2 linked regions of the Lepisosteus oculatus genome follow. The protein of the gene in region 1 interacts with the protein of each later gene in a pairwise test. Links are inferred from orthologs where the notes say so. Each region holds a gene or a part of one and is shown in the gene's direction. Other genes may lie near its edges.

Region 1 (6,876 bases):
GAAGCCGCTGGTGCGCTGGGTGAGGGTCAAGCGAACCCGGGTTCCGAAAGGCTGGATCCAGGGACCCCAGGAGGCCAGCATGGACTTCGACTACGCCCTCCTGGAGCTGCGCGCCCCCCACCGGCGCCCCTACATGCGTCTCTCCGTGGCCCCTTCCGCCCAGGACCTCGCGGGCAAGCGGATCCACTTCTCCGGGTTCGACAGCGACCGGCCCGGAGAGCTGGTGTACCGGTTCTGCCCCGTGGAGGACGAGTCCAACGACCTCATCTACCAGCACTGCGACGCGCGGCCCGGCGCCAGCGGCTCGGGGGTGTACGGCCGCGTCTGGGACGCCGCGCTGGAGCGCTGGGAGAGGAAGGTGATCGGAGTCTTCTCGGGACACCAGTGGCTGGAGATCAACGGGGAGAACCGAGACTTCAACGTCGCCGTCCGGTTCACCCCTCTCAAGTTTGCACAGATCTGTTACTGGGTGAAGGGGAACCACTTGGACTGCCTTCAGGACTGAGCGCAGGAGACTGGGCTGGGGACCGTAGCCTGGGGGTCCCGGTGCCCTAGTCCCATATCATTCAACTTCTTTAAACGGTTTCATGCTTTGTGATTAAAACAAGGTAGTAAATTCCTAAAGAAACAGCCTTTATGCGGGGGCAGCCCGTGCATGCAAAGGCTAAAGAAGAATCTTGTCTGTTCTTAGTGGGAAATGTCTGTCTTGGGCGCCCTTCCTGGTTCTTGGCTTGCTTTGCCCGCACTCACTGATAGCGATTGTCTCAGCAGAGAAGAGTCTTCGTGAAAGGAAGCTAACAGACCACTCTGGACCTCTTTGTGCGTGACCTACGGCAAACCGTAGGAGCGCTGTGATAATTTAATCGATACTTCGTTGATGCACTTTTGCTTGCCCTACCTGCCTTGTGTATTTTACTGTGTCTGTTGTCGCGGTCTGAGAGGACCCGAAACCGGTCCCTCTCCTGATATCTCCCCCTCCCCCCGCGAACAGCGAATTCCCCTGCCCCCTGCCCCCCGGGCTGTGATGGACCCATTAGCACAGGACGGGCCAGGCTCCGTTCCCACAGGACCGGGGGGGCAGTCGTAGCTCCACCTTCCCAGCTTCCAGCTGAAAGTTCCAGCATCCCTGTGCCGTGGACCGCATGAGCACCCTTTAAATCAGATCCACTGAGATACTTCCTCTCCAGCCTGTGATTACCGTCAGGTCTCTTTCAAACGACCTGCACACCCATGAGCACTCTCATAAGAGAAGAAGCTGTGATTTTGTTTTACCATGAGGAGGGCGCTCCGTTTCATAAGGGTAACCGGTCAGGTTGAGGAAATCACTAAGTTGGAAGATTTAAGGAACTAACGTCTCAGTGTGCTTTTTTGGGGGGGAGGAGCAGATCTCCCTGTAAATATAAGGGGAAATGCGCTGAAGGGCCTTTAATGAGAGTTTAACTGGTGGGACAATCTCACAGCCTCTGTGCCTGACAGCACCGCTCTCTGCAGAGCACAGGCTGATGCTGACCAGCCTGCTCCCGGCCATCCCCCCCAGTAACACAGCACTTCCTTGTCCGCGCGTGTAGCCCTGACAGCCACGCAACGGCTCGGCGTTCCTCTGCCAGGGCCCGGCCGGGGCACTGCCGTTAGCAGGATTCCGGTTGCGTTTCATTTCGTTTCATTAAGTTTTATTTGAGAAAGCCTTCTATATATTTGAATAAACTGGATATTTGATTAACTGTTTCTCCCCGTGTGGGTGTTGTCTGTCTTGTCTTGTTTTGGTTTTTCTTCATGTCCTTGAAAAGTAGCCGAGATCGGGAACCCCATCAGGATAAAGCCCACTTTTCCCTGAGAGGAAACGTGCAGCTTTACAACAGCTTTGTTTCAATGCTGCGTGTTGAGCCTGTAGTCAGGTTGTTGTTTTTTTTTGCTGTAAAAAACTACAAAAGGAAAGAAAAGATGAACAGCACTTCAGGAGACGGCTACGTTTGAGCCAGCTGTCTGTGCTCAAAGTGGCAGAAGACTTGAGTTTCTGGGGTTGATATCCATGAGCTTACTTATAGATCAATTCATAAATTAAGATAATGCAAGAAGAAAAGTTTGAATATAAATGCATAAACGAATTGGGAAAACAAATAACATTAGGAAGTTAGATCCCAGGGATAACTAGCATGATCCTATAGGACAAACAGCCATTCCCCTGGTCTTAACCACTCACGGCCTCCTAATAATCCCCATGAACTGGCTTCATCACTCTGCTCTCCTCCCCACTGAGAAATGATCATGATGGCTGCTGTCACATCGTCCAGGTGATTCTGTTCACTGCTGGTGTTAGTGGGATTCCCCGTTACCTGTAACGTACTTTGCAAAAAAGCACTATAGAACTGTAAGGATTACACTAATGATGAGGATTATTATTAATATCAGATAAGATCACTTTATTGGCCATATACAATTTCTTGCATTAGGAGTTCATCTTTTCACATACCCCAGCTTGCTCTCCATGAGACACAGACAGGGAGAGAAGCAGGGGGTCAAAGCACATGGTCAGCCATTGTACAGCACCCCTGGAGCAGTTAGGGTTAAGGGCCTTGCTCAGGGGCCCAACGGAGTAGGATTCCTCTGCCAGCTGCAGGATTTGAACCGGCAACTTTCCAGTCACAGGCGCAGATCCTGAGCCACAGAGCCACCACTCCACCCGATATTCTGTTTATATATTGCATGTTTATAATATGCTGTTTCACTCTCAAGATTTTCTTGGCCACTGAGTTTCCTGCCTCCCGTTGTCAGGAAGCTGCTTGTTCCTGGCGAGGGTCACGCCAACCGGGAGCCCATTCTGGGAAAACAGGGCGCAGGACGGCACCCGCACCCCGGACGGGGCGCTAATCCACTGCAGTGCGCGCACACACAGCGGGGACAACAAATATAATGAACGTAGCTCACATATGTCTTTGCAGAGCGAGAGGAAACCCGTGGGAACATGCGAAGACATGCACACTCCACCCAGAAGGTGCCCTCGTCTGAAACTCAACCCAGGATCCAGGGAACATCTGTTTTTGAACTAAGCCGCACGATCAAAATCGGCGGCAGATTAATCATTTTTTATTTAAAACAGTTTTTCTCTACTTGGAAAAATAAATATTCATCAGCTGGATGGGGCAGCATTGCAGCCTGGCAGTGCAGGGGGCCTGGGTTCAAATCCTAGGGTGCTGTCTGTGTGGAGTTTGTATGTTCTCCCCATGATTACATGGGTGCGCTCTGGGTTCTCTGGTTTCCTTCCACAATCGAAAGACATGCTGGTTGGTTAACTTTCTGTTCTGTTCTGGGAAAACTGACCCTGGTGTGTGTGTCTGTGTGTCTGCCCTATGATGGACTGGTGTCCAGTCCAGGGTGTATCCTGCCTTGTGCCTGTTGCTTGCTGGGATAGGCATGACACCCCTAAAGCAGTTAGAAAATGAATGGATCCATGGGATTAACTACTTGTCATAAAGGCTAGGTTGCATATTTTGATTGTGATAACTGCTCAGCTGTTTAAATTCAAAGCCTTGCTTTTAGTGTCAGATTTCACGATGACGGTGTTTTAAACGATTTCCTCCCGAAAATAAATTAGCATTATTTCAGGAGTAGCCTGAAATTTACAACACCAGGATCCCCCCCGCCCTAACTTGTTCCCCCACCTTGGACAAAGAAACGAAAGATTAAACTACACTCTCCAGAAAGCCTTGCGGGGGACTCGCCCATATCCGGCTGCGTTTCTCTACGATAGGTCCTACCCGCTCGAGCCGTTCTCCCCGGCGTCCAATCAGAGCTGCAGTTGCGGCTGAGGAGGCGGGGAAAGGTGATGGGTGGGGTCCACGTTCGCTACGCACAACGTCAGCGCCGCTGCATGGCGTGAGGGGAAATCTGTCCAAGATGGCGGCGACCACGGAGAGCAGCAATGCTGTGGCAGCAGGCAAGCGAAAACACTTAGGCATCCCGGAGGCTGTATTTGTGGTAAGAGGCCAAAGGCAACGTCTGTTGTGCCTTTTTACATGTGGAGAATTATTGATGATGAAGGGCTGGGAGAACTCCGTGCAGAAAGGAGAATCCGATATTACAGTAGCTAGCCATCCACATCCTTAAAAGGCAGTTGGAGACATTTCGACTATGAAAGCTAAGCACCGGGATCTGAGACTACAAGGAAAAGGGTGGTCTCGCTTGCGGGCGGACGACAATGGGGCATTGAGCAGCCCGCACCCTTAGAGCTCAAATGCATTTTTAAGCATACCTCCACACCCAGAGCATAGATTTTATGGTATCCAATGGTTACCGCTGTACCGTGGAAGCAAGTCGATTGAATGTCTTGTCTCAACTACAATCTTCGGACGTTCAAGTTCCGACCAACATTATAAGATAATCAGGGGGGCTGGATCGGCGTATTTTGTATTATTTAATTGAAAATATATATATTTTTTAGCAGTTCGGCTGGGGTGCGGGTTTGACAGCGTCAATATTTCAGTTCAGGAGCCCTTCCGGCCGCGGGCTCCAGCGCGGTGCAGATGAGTCACTGCGTGCTGGGTTAGGACCTCGGGTCGTGGAGACGCGCTTGTCGTTTGCGGAGAAGGAGGTGGACCCGTGTCTGCTCCACAGCGAGAACCTCACTAGCTCCATTGTCGTTAGATGGCGTGACCGAGAACCGTAAACGAAATGTCCGTTTGAGGTCCGGTTAAGAAATCAGAGCAAATCATATGTTGCAATAGTTCATTACCAAAAGTGGCGATGGCATCTTCCATACCCCTTTGTCTTTATCGTTATGTTTCTGTGCTATTGCCCGTACTGGTGTAATTTTCGACCCGTTGCTGAGTTGTTTCTGTGTAAATGTCATCTGGATTTTTTTACAGGGCAAATTATGGGAAAAAAAAGCGTTTTGGCCCAACATTACATAGATTATTTTCTTAGTGAAACCGTTTTTTTTTAACATGTTCAGGCACAAGAACAACTGTCTCCTGAGTGGAGACTCTACAGAGCCATGATAAGCCTCCGACTGCTTTTATATTGGGAGACACGACGAATAAAGACGTCTTCCGGGCTGATTAATGGGACTGACGCAGACCCAGAGCTAGTATCATCTTCAAAACAGTTAAGCTTCTGAGCCCAGGGTTGGAACCCGAGTCTTCCTGAATGTGGTTCTTGGGGGCGATGTCGGCACAATTAATTAAATCCCTGACCTTTCTGATCAGCTGCCTTCCTGGTCCCAGCTCCATCTGCCTCTTGTTCTCTTAGTTCTGAATTCAGTTCAGGATTCAAGAGCAAATCAGGAAGGAGCCTGCAGTATTGTACTAGAACTGCGCCTGGGCAGAGGGCTCTTGTTCACTAGTGCCTCTTTGAACAAGAGTCTTGTTCAAGTGGAGTCTTGTTCTACTAGAGTAGGGCACGTCTGCCATGACGGGCCTACACTCGGGATTAAATAGCTGCCGGAGTCTTGATGTAGCAGAAAGCCCGGCTTTATCAATGCATTCCCGAGCAATTTCACAAAGCCGATAACGAAACAGTTCAGTTCCTGTTACCCAGTATGGAAGAGATTTTGCCTTTGTGGTTTTAAACATGAGGGTTAGTGTGCCAACGGGTTACCATGGTGACAGGAAGTGGGAGGAGTAACCGCCCTGATGTCCATATATGGCATATATATGGGAGGGGCACTGGCTGCTGTACACCTGAGCAAAGTACATCACTCAGACTGCCCCAGTGAAATACCCAGTGGTAAATAAAGGGTAGAAACATGATGCTTTGGATAAAAGAGTCGGCCGAGTAAAGTTGCCCGATGAACTATCAGGAGGGGTGATTTCACAGATCCTCTCTCTCGCAGGAGGATGTGGACGCCTTCATGAAGCAGCCTGGCAATGAGACGGCTGACGCTGTGCTGAGGAAGCTGGATGAGCAGTATCAGAAGTACAAGTTCATGGAGCTCAACCTGGCGCAGAAGAAGCTGAGGTGAGCCCGAGGGCGTCTCTGCCGCCCGTCGCCCGTGGGGGTGATGGGGGTTATAGGTCTTGCTAAACCGTAGGTCTGAATACTCGCAGGAGAGGGTTGTGTTGCTCCAGTCAGTCTTGAGGTTAAGTGATTAGGAGGAGCCTGAAGCTGTTCATCATTAAGTGGGATTTAAAAAAACTGCCTGTTTTGAGAAACGGGGAGTTTTCTGGGAGTAGAAAGCGTTTGCTGCCGTGAACAGAGCTCGCGGAATGTAGTGGCGCATGAAGAGAGAGCCATTTTTTTCAGGGCTTTGTAAAGGAACGCCGTCAAACGGCTCCCGGTCCTGCGTCCGGAGACTCGTCCTCCAGATGTCCCGGTGTGATGGAAGACGGTCTTGCCCATTAACCTCCCAGCTTTCCTGTTTTTGTCTCTTTTCAGATTGAAAAGCCAGATCCCCCAAATTAAGCAAACACTCGAAATTTTAAAACACATGCAGAAGAAAAAGGTACATCTCGGCCGCATGGGGTCACTGCCCACCGGGTCTAATTTCTTTTCCACCCCTCTTGTGTGTTTTGCAGCTGCTTACTGTGATTTTATTTCCACCTGCCTTAGGACACCACAGATCCTTTGGAAACCCACTTCCTGCTGGCTGATAACCTGTATTGCAAGGCCTTGGTACCCCCCACAGATAAAGTCTGTTTGTGGCTTGGCGTAAGTATTTAATCCATACTGCTACGTCTCATTAGTAAATTGCGTTAAGTTGACGGTTATTCCAACCCTGACGAGCAGAGATATTGTAGTGTTAACTTTAGGTTGACCAGGGGGAGCACTGCATCCCCTTTTGGGGCGACCAGGGGGAGCACTGCGTCCCCTTTTGGGGCGACCAGGGGGAGCACTGCGTCCCCTTTTGGGGCGACCAGGGGTAGCACTGCGTCCCCTTTTGGG
Region 2 (7,800 bases), on another chromosome or scaffold:
TTTTAACTACAATGCTACTTACTAAGATTTTGATAGATTTAGATTATTTTGTTGTGCTAGAGTGAAGATGGCTGGTTATCTTTTAACCCTAGGTCCCTACCTTGTTACCACAAAGGAGGTGCTGTCCAGGTTGTCTATAGTTCTGAATCGAATGCATAAAATGCCAGAATTCTTCCATGATTATCTTTGTCTAGGCATGGAGTTCAAACTTAGTGGCTGCTTTGTACTTGTTGCAGAATCCTTGTGGTGATACTGTTCATTGTTTACAGGAGTGAGTCTTGATTTAGAGACAGCTACTGTAAGTGAAACATATTCTAGGATGTATTGATATGTGATCATGTGTAATCAAGAACTTCACCATTAAAAATAAGGTATTCAAGAGTTTGTGTGGTAGTAAAAGCACTATACTGCAGGAAGAGGTATACTTGCATAAAGTGATCTTCCCCCTCACAGCACCCCGCAGAGTTTCCCAATAGTCTTTACTTTGGACAATTGCCTGGATAGAGGAAATATTTCATCCTGTGTCATTCACCTGAGCTGAGGCTTCAGTTCAACTCAAGAGACACGTGATGAAGGGAGCTCCAATTAAAAATCTAATCTTGCTATCTAACAAAAATTGAAAACTTGCAAACATTTGGAACCTTTCAATTTCATTTCAAAGTTTCATTTGGCTAAGGGCATGCAACAAAAGTGCAACAACATGTAATTTATATTAAATGACAACTTTCTGTCTGAGAGCTTTATACTTTCGAAGTCTGAGGGCTGTGGGTGGAGGAGTCAGGGTTAAGGTAGACTTTGGAGCACATCTGTAATTTCTGCAGTCAGAGATTCATTAAAAGAGCTGCATAAAATGTTTTTGTTATCATTATTACTTGAGTTAAAGAAGAAGAACCTTCACTTATTTTTAAGTGGTTTTAAAAGTTTTAATGTTCATATAGAGAACGATACTTATGCAAAACACCTCTTTTAAACAATACCTTAAGAAAAAGAATAGACACTGCAGAAGACATTTTATTACTATATATTTAAAAATATATATTTTCAATTAAACCTGAGTGACGCATGTGTGTTGTATCCCTTTTCTAAGAATTCTAGAAAATGATTTGCCCTCATTCATGAATTCAACAAATTTGTATCCTCTTTTATTTGCACGGTAGCAATCTAAACAGTATATTCAAGGTTAATCTATTATGTCAACATGAAGACTGATAGCCTTGTGCCAGATCAGTTCAAAATGTATTTTTTTCTCTTTTTTGGTTATTATTTAATAGATGTTCATTCAGGACATTCAAATGGCAATGAGTTCTTCAGTTCTTTTACGCCACTGGCAGCTTATGTCAATGATTATAAGATAAGACCATTATCACTCTAAGATCCAAAAGTCATGTAAAATTGATTTTCTTCTGATATGGGTTACACATTAACTCTCATGTGATTTAACTAAAATAATGATGTGCCTGGTAAAATAGATCCAGCCTGGATTTAAGGACCCACAATCTGAATTTGTTAGTATATACCTGTATATATTTAATTGCTGCCAATGTAGGCGTACTCATCAGAAAACAGGAAATAGCTGTGCAGTGTTATAGAAGATGTGGATAAGCAGTGGCAGACCAGTTTATCTGTGTATATATATGAGCACTGTAGCCAAATCTTAGTATTTATTATCATTATTACTTTACTTAACAAGATCCATCCATTCATTTTCTAACTGCTTCATGCGATTCGGGGGGGGGCAAGGGAACTGAAGCCTATCCCAGCAAGCAATGGGCACAAAGCAGGGTACTCCATGGAAGGGGTGCCAGTCTATCCCAAGGCACAGACAGACACAACCAAATACCCTACCAAACTGGAGCACCTGGAGGAAACCAACACTAATGCAGAGAGAACATAGAAACTCCATGTTGACAGCATCCCAGGAATTGAACCCCAGCACTCTGAGGCAGCAACGCCAATCACTGCATCACCTACTGATTCTACAAATTCTAATTTACATAGACAACTAACTGGCTAGGCAGGGTACACTACTGTGATGGTAAAAAGAACAATAAAAGACAGCAAAAGAAGAAAAAGATGACATTCCTTTTGCTGTCATATTGTTTATTGGGATAGTGCCTTCATCCACCTTTAAGAACATAGAGAATATATTTAAGACTTTACTTTGCCTAAACACACCCTACAATAGTTTCAGGTGTTAAAACAGGTATGAACTGCTTACTTATGGGACTACCGCTAAAACATAATTACTATGAAAATGATAGCGTCTTAATTTAAGAGATCCTTTTGCATTGTTTTGCACTACCTATTCATGCACAAATAATAGATGCATCTGAATTTGTTTTGGGCACAGACAGCATAAAGGAAAAATAACATTCTTGGGCACTGCCTAGAGAACTATATTATTCATAGGTGTGGTCCATCCAGTCCACACTTGTGAAAATGGTTTAGCTCTGGTATGACTCATGATTCCTGAGGACAAAAGCTGAAACGTGTCAGGCCAGTTCTTGCTGTGGGACAGAAAGTTTCTCACAAGGTATGTATGACTCTGGTACATCACTACATCACTAAAGCAGCAGGAAATCTGGAAAAAGTGTCAATTCAGACAGCCTCAGGGGTTGACATTACTGACATGTCAACCCAAATTATCCCATTGGGTCACATTATGGGGGGTCCACCCCTACCCACATCTCATGCAAAGCTACATAAGGCTCTGCTATGAGTTTTTTGCAGATGATGTACAGTATAAAGTAAACTTGCATCACGGCAAATACGTGGACAGACAAATATTTGAATAGAAGGTCAAATTTGTAGAAAGACCAGAAAATATGTGGAACTCCTGTTCACCGTGTACAGACAAGAGCCCCACATTAAGTCATCATTTGCAAAAGTAACATTTTACTTTTTTCAATTTAGGTCAATTTTTTAATTTGGTCAATTTAGTCATTTGTTTTCATGTTCAAGCACATGCAGTATATAGACATGATACGTTTTTACACATTTTAGTGAAGTTGGTTAACATTAGCAGTAATGTAATAATAATCAGAGATCATATTAGTAAAGACTATCTGATTATTATTAACTGATCAATTATTAATGATCAGTGAAAAGCCCTTCAAGATAACATCAGAAGTTACACTCATATCCTCACCTATCAATTGCACCACTGAATGAGGACAAGCAATTGCTTTGCCCATCATGTTCAGGAAGTACTTGAGCTCAGTGTGAACTGAGTTCAAATTCATTCAATTCCTCTTGAGCAGAATCATCCATTACATTACAACAGTTTGTGCAACCTGAGGTTTCTATGACAGCAATAGTTAGGTCTTCAGGTCAATAACACATTTAGGATCAGTAGCTGTGCCATTTAAAAAATTCCTTCAGGCACAGGTGTTTCGTTAATCATTCATTCTACATTCTCTGAAAGTTAATCATTTTTGTACATTCCTCAACTTAAACTTTAAACTAAAAAAGAAAAAAAAACTCGATATTGCTCTTAAATTTATTATAATTATAAAACCAGAAAAAATATTATATTAATCCTGCCTGTTTCAGCATTTCTTTTTGTTTCCTCTAATGTTTAAAACCCATCAAACACAGAAAGGACATTTTTTAAATTAATCAGCTGTGATAAACGGCGTTCATAAAGGCTGAAGATTCATAAACATGAAGTGTTCAGATACATAACATGCAGTGCAAGAGTTTGACTAATATATTTCATGTGAATACATATTTCTTTTAGTCTGTCAATGAAGAACATTCCTTTTCTCTTCTTTGTCTTTGAGCACATTTTGGTCACAAGGTGACAAACTGACAGTATTGTAAATGCCATCTTAATTCTGCAACTTCAAATTGTAATATCCATTGATTTAGAAGTGATGCCTTTTTGCTTACATTTTATTTGCTTTTTTCATTGTTTTCCTACATTCCTATACTGTCTGTCTCGAAGATGAAAATGCTGTCAGGATGAACTGGTAAGGTTTTCTAAGGTCGCCTGTTCAAGCTCAGCATTTCCCATTTTATAGTTAGTTTATAGTAATAGTTTTTATGTTTATGTTTTTGCTACCTGCATGAAACTCTCGGCACATATCTAAATAAGATATAATCTGTTAGCTGTTTTCGCTAGTCTTTCCTCTAAATCTTTATGAATTTAGTTCGCAGACTGCGTGCTCGTCACTTCTGTATCATATGCGTGTGCGACTAGTTTGCTAACTGTAACAGAATATAGATCATAAATATAAATCACAAAGAACAGCGGCTGTGTCCTATAAAAAACCGTATCCTATTAAACACTGTTCCATTATTGACATTTCTTATTCGCGTTAATTAGTATTGCTAGTAACGACAGCAAGAGTTAAGCATGCAACATGACGTTATAACTACCAAGTATTAGTTGGAAAAGAAATTAAGATAAAATACAAAATCCTTGACTAATATAGCATTCAATATTCGGAATGGAGGGAGAAACAATTATATGTTAAAAATCCCTTTTATGACTGTTTTAAAAAGTAATTATTCCAGTATTAAGAAGATAATTAAATGATTTTGTGACACGTCTGCCACCTGCAGGACATTAGAAGTATTACCGTAAAACTCCTTTTTATCGGCCAAACTTTTAAACTTCCATGCGTTCTTTGAGTGCGTCCCTTTAAACGGAACCTACCACTTGTTTAAATAAATTATATACATCCAGAAACCGATATGTGAGCTACACATAAAATCATTGTGCATTGTACTTAATTGTATTAATATTTTAAAGTAAAAAATGAGAACCCGCACGTCAATGAAAACGCTGTAAATCAAAACAAATACTCCAGAAGGTATAATTCTCCACGTGAATGAATAGATTCGTCCATAAAAATGGCAGCGACCATGAAGAAGTCTGTTGTAAGTAATTCTTAACAGGTTTTAGATTTTATTAATCTTTTTGTCGGTCTTGCTGGGTAGGCATGTATTATGTGTAATCTGGAAATTAAAGCTGGTAAAGCAGTTCTATTAGCGTGTGCACTAATTAAGTCCATCTTCGTTATAGACTGTTATGGGTGTGGTGGTTAATATCGGTGAGCTTTTGATCTGTTGTTGGTTTCAGACAGTAATATATAGTTATATATTGCATTCCATAAAGCTCTTTAGTAATTTATTATTAAGAATACAATCCTAAACGCCGTTAGTAAACGACAGCTGCATTTCACATAAGCAAGAGACGAAAATGGGTGGTATTAAGTAAAAATAATACGCAAACGCTTTAAATGGAATGAATGAGGTTTAAATTTCTGAAGTTGCAAGTACAATCTCTATATCGTTGGATAATTATCTTTGAAACTATTCTTATTATTAACAAAAATAATTTGAGCACGCAGTATGTGACCATTGGATTTTTGTAAATGACTACAGCTGAGGACCAGGTCTGAGAGTCAGTACCCGGGGATTTTTCAAGAAATTACCGAATGAGATACTCTGATCAGTACAGGGTAGCTACTACAAGCACCAACGAGCTAAGTGGGCCCACTTGCTTTCTTTTCTTTACATTTTTTCATATCTTTATAGGCAGTAGAAGACGTGAACGTCACCTTTGAAGACCAACAGAAGATTAACAAATTTGCTAGAAACACAAACCGGATGACTGAACTCAAAGAAGAAATAGAAGCAAAGAAGGTATATTTATAATTGGCAAGTGCACATTAGCGCATTTAATTGAAGGCTATTAAAACTATCTGAGCTTGGAAGAAAACTATTCTAAAATACCAGTAGCAATCACAAACAACAACAACAACAAAAAAAGGTTTGCCTTGTTGTTGGGCAGATCTCCTCAGTTATGTATTCCATGATGACGTTTGCCTCTCTTCTTCAGAAATCTCTTCAGAACTTGGAGGACGCCAGTGATGACATCATGATGTTTGATGATGACACCTTACTAATTCCGTATCAGATTGGTGATGTCTTCATTAGCCACACCCAGGAGGAAACACAGGATATGTTAGATACTGGGAAGGTAGGCCTAGCTTTGTGAAGTTCATTCTAATCCATGGTTAGTAAACAGCTGTAAGAGTCTTACTGCTCTAGGGTCCTGGGTTGGTTTCTGGACTGAGGTGAATTCTCTGTTCTTGCTCTGTTTGATGGATGGATGGATGGAGTAAAAAGCAAACTGTTGTCTCATATAATTTTACAGATTCCATAAGTTACATTACTGAAAGCACATTTTATTGCTTATCTTCTGCAGAGGGTGTGTTTTGTAGAGCAGCGTGGCGGTTTTTATCTTTCCTGTAACAGTCTTCTTTCTGAAGAGCTCAATAACACTGATCGCTTTGTTCCTTTTTAACGAGTTCTCACTTCTGAGTAAGTCTTACCCTGTGATCAGTTAACAGTCAGCTGGAAAAAGCTGTCGTAATGCTCATCAATATAGTATGTTTGATCTGCTCTCTTAAAACATGACCCTTCAGAATCAGTTCTCAACTTTATTTGTACTGAAATGCTATGAAAAGAAACCTAAAACAGCTGTAGACTCACCTAATTATCTTAATAGATGCAAAAAAATGGAATGTGAAAATTTGAATTGTTTCACAGCAGTAAATGAAGTTATTAAGGAAAAATAACACATAATTTTTAATTTAACATATAGTAAATAAACACAAAGGTGATATTTTCAGAGTTTCCTGCAAGGAATGTGTGAGATTTTCTGCTGAAATCTTGCAGGTGCATACTATTTGCATTGATGGTTTCTTTTAATTTTTGTACAAAAACACATTGGTTAATTAATGAAGTTGTGAGTCTCTATAGCAGTTTCTAAATTTTATGTTACTTTGTTTTTTTTAATCAACTTTGACTTGATGTAAATACTTGAGGTCTGAGAATTGTGAGATTCTGTACCATTGCAGCTACTGGCAGATAAATGATCTTGCGGTGTATCATTATGAAACAGTATCTCAGTATGGATTCTTGTGTATATTATGTCTGCATTTTTTGGCCAGACGGTCCGTCTGGTCTGTATACAATAATAGAGAATAGTATTACTCCAGAAATTATGTCGAGCCAAGATCCCAGATTCCTCTTTGCTTATTTAACCATGTTTCAGTGTACAGTTTCAAGCTTACTTGTAACTTTTATGTGACTATGAAATATACCTTATCAGAAGTTTTCAGCTGTCCATTGATATTTTGTACCATCAATTGACACCCTATTCATATCAATTTCTACCTCCTATACTTAAGCTGTTGAAGCTTTCCAAGTTTGGGGATAGCTGAACTGACATCAAGATTGTTAAAATTAATGCATATTCATACTGGTATGAATGATCATTTACTTTAATAGAAGAAAACTATTTAGTAGTGTGGTTTCCTACACTTACTTTAACAGAATAAGAAACCATAAAATATAAATTATTTTCCTTTGCCACTCTCAAAATATAAGTTTGAAAATTAAACTCTGATGTACTCTAACCTGAGGAAAGCTGGAAATGTGAAAGTAGTTTTCCCACAAACAACTCCGACAAGACAACTCTGACTTAGAAATAAATGTAGATTACTTTTGTATATTGTATAAATTACCTATTGTTGTTATATACTGTTGTACCTGTGAGGAACTCTGTGTGTGTTGGCTGTGAAGGACCAGGTTAATTTCACGATGGAAAAACTAGAAAAGAGAAACCAAACATTTTGGCTGAAGAGTCAGGTATTTGTAGATACTTTATATACTTTGTACTGTGTACTATATACTATAAAGTATATACAGTATTTTTGTATGTTGATTCAGTATGAAGTGCAAAATTAAGGATTATTTATTTCCACAAAGAAAATCAAGTATTTT

Evidence for each region. The genes of interacting proteins can lie anywhere in the genome.
Region 2: the proteins of vbp1 (region 1) and pfdn4 interact in binary tests that used the Homo sapiens proteins (3 or more experiments, as listed by UniProt). The link is inferred for Lepisosteus oculatus from reciprocal best matches to the Homo sapiens genes VBP1 and PFDN4.

What each region holds. Positions count from the first base shown.
Region 1 is NC_090703.1:47,078,758-47,085,633, forward strand, and holds the start of vbp1 (prefoldin subunit 3), read left to right. Parts: upstream 1-3,864; 5' UTR 3,865-3,894; coding exon 3,895-3,975; intron 3,976-5,827; coding exon 5,828-5,952; intron 5,953-6,369; coding exon 6,370-6,436; intron 6,437-6,543; coding exon 6,544-6,642; intron 6,643-6,876. Other genes in the region: prss23 (serine protease 23), read left to right, coding at 1-505. UniProt on the Homo sapiens protein: Binds specifically to cytosolic chaperonin (c-CPN) and transfers target proteins to it. Binds to nascent polypeptide chain and promotes folding in an environment in which there are many competing pathways for nonnative proteins.
Region 2 is NC_090711.1:11,177,960-11,185,759, reverse strand, and holds the start of pfdn4 (prefoldin subunit 4), read left to right. Parts: upstream 1-4,780; 5' UTR 4,781-4,857; coding exon 4,858-4,884; intron 4,885-5,544; coding exon 5,545-5,652; intron 5,653-5,848; coding exon 5,849-5,989; intron 5,990-7,800. UniProt on the Homo sapiens protein: Binds specifically to cytosolic chaperonin (c-CPN) and transfers target proteins to it. Binds to nascent polypeptide chain and promotes folding in an environment in which there are many competing pathways for nonnative proteins.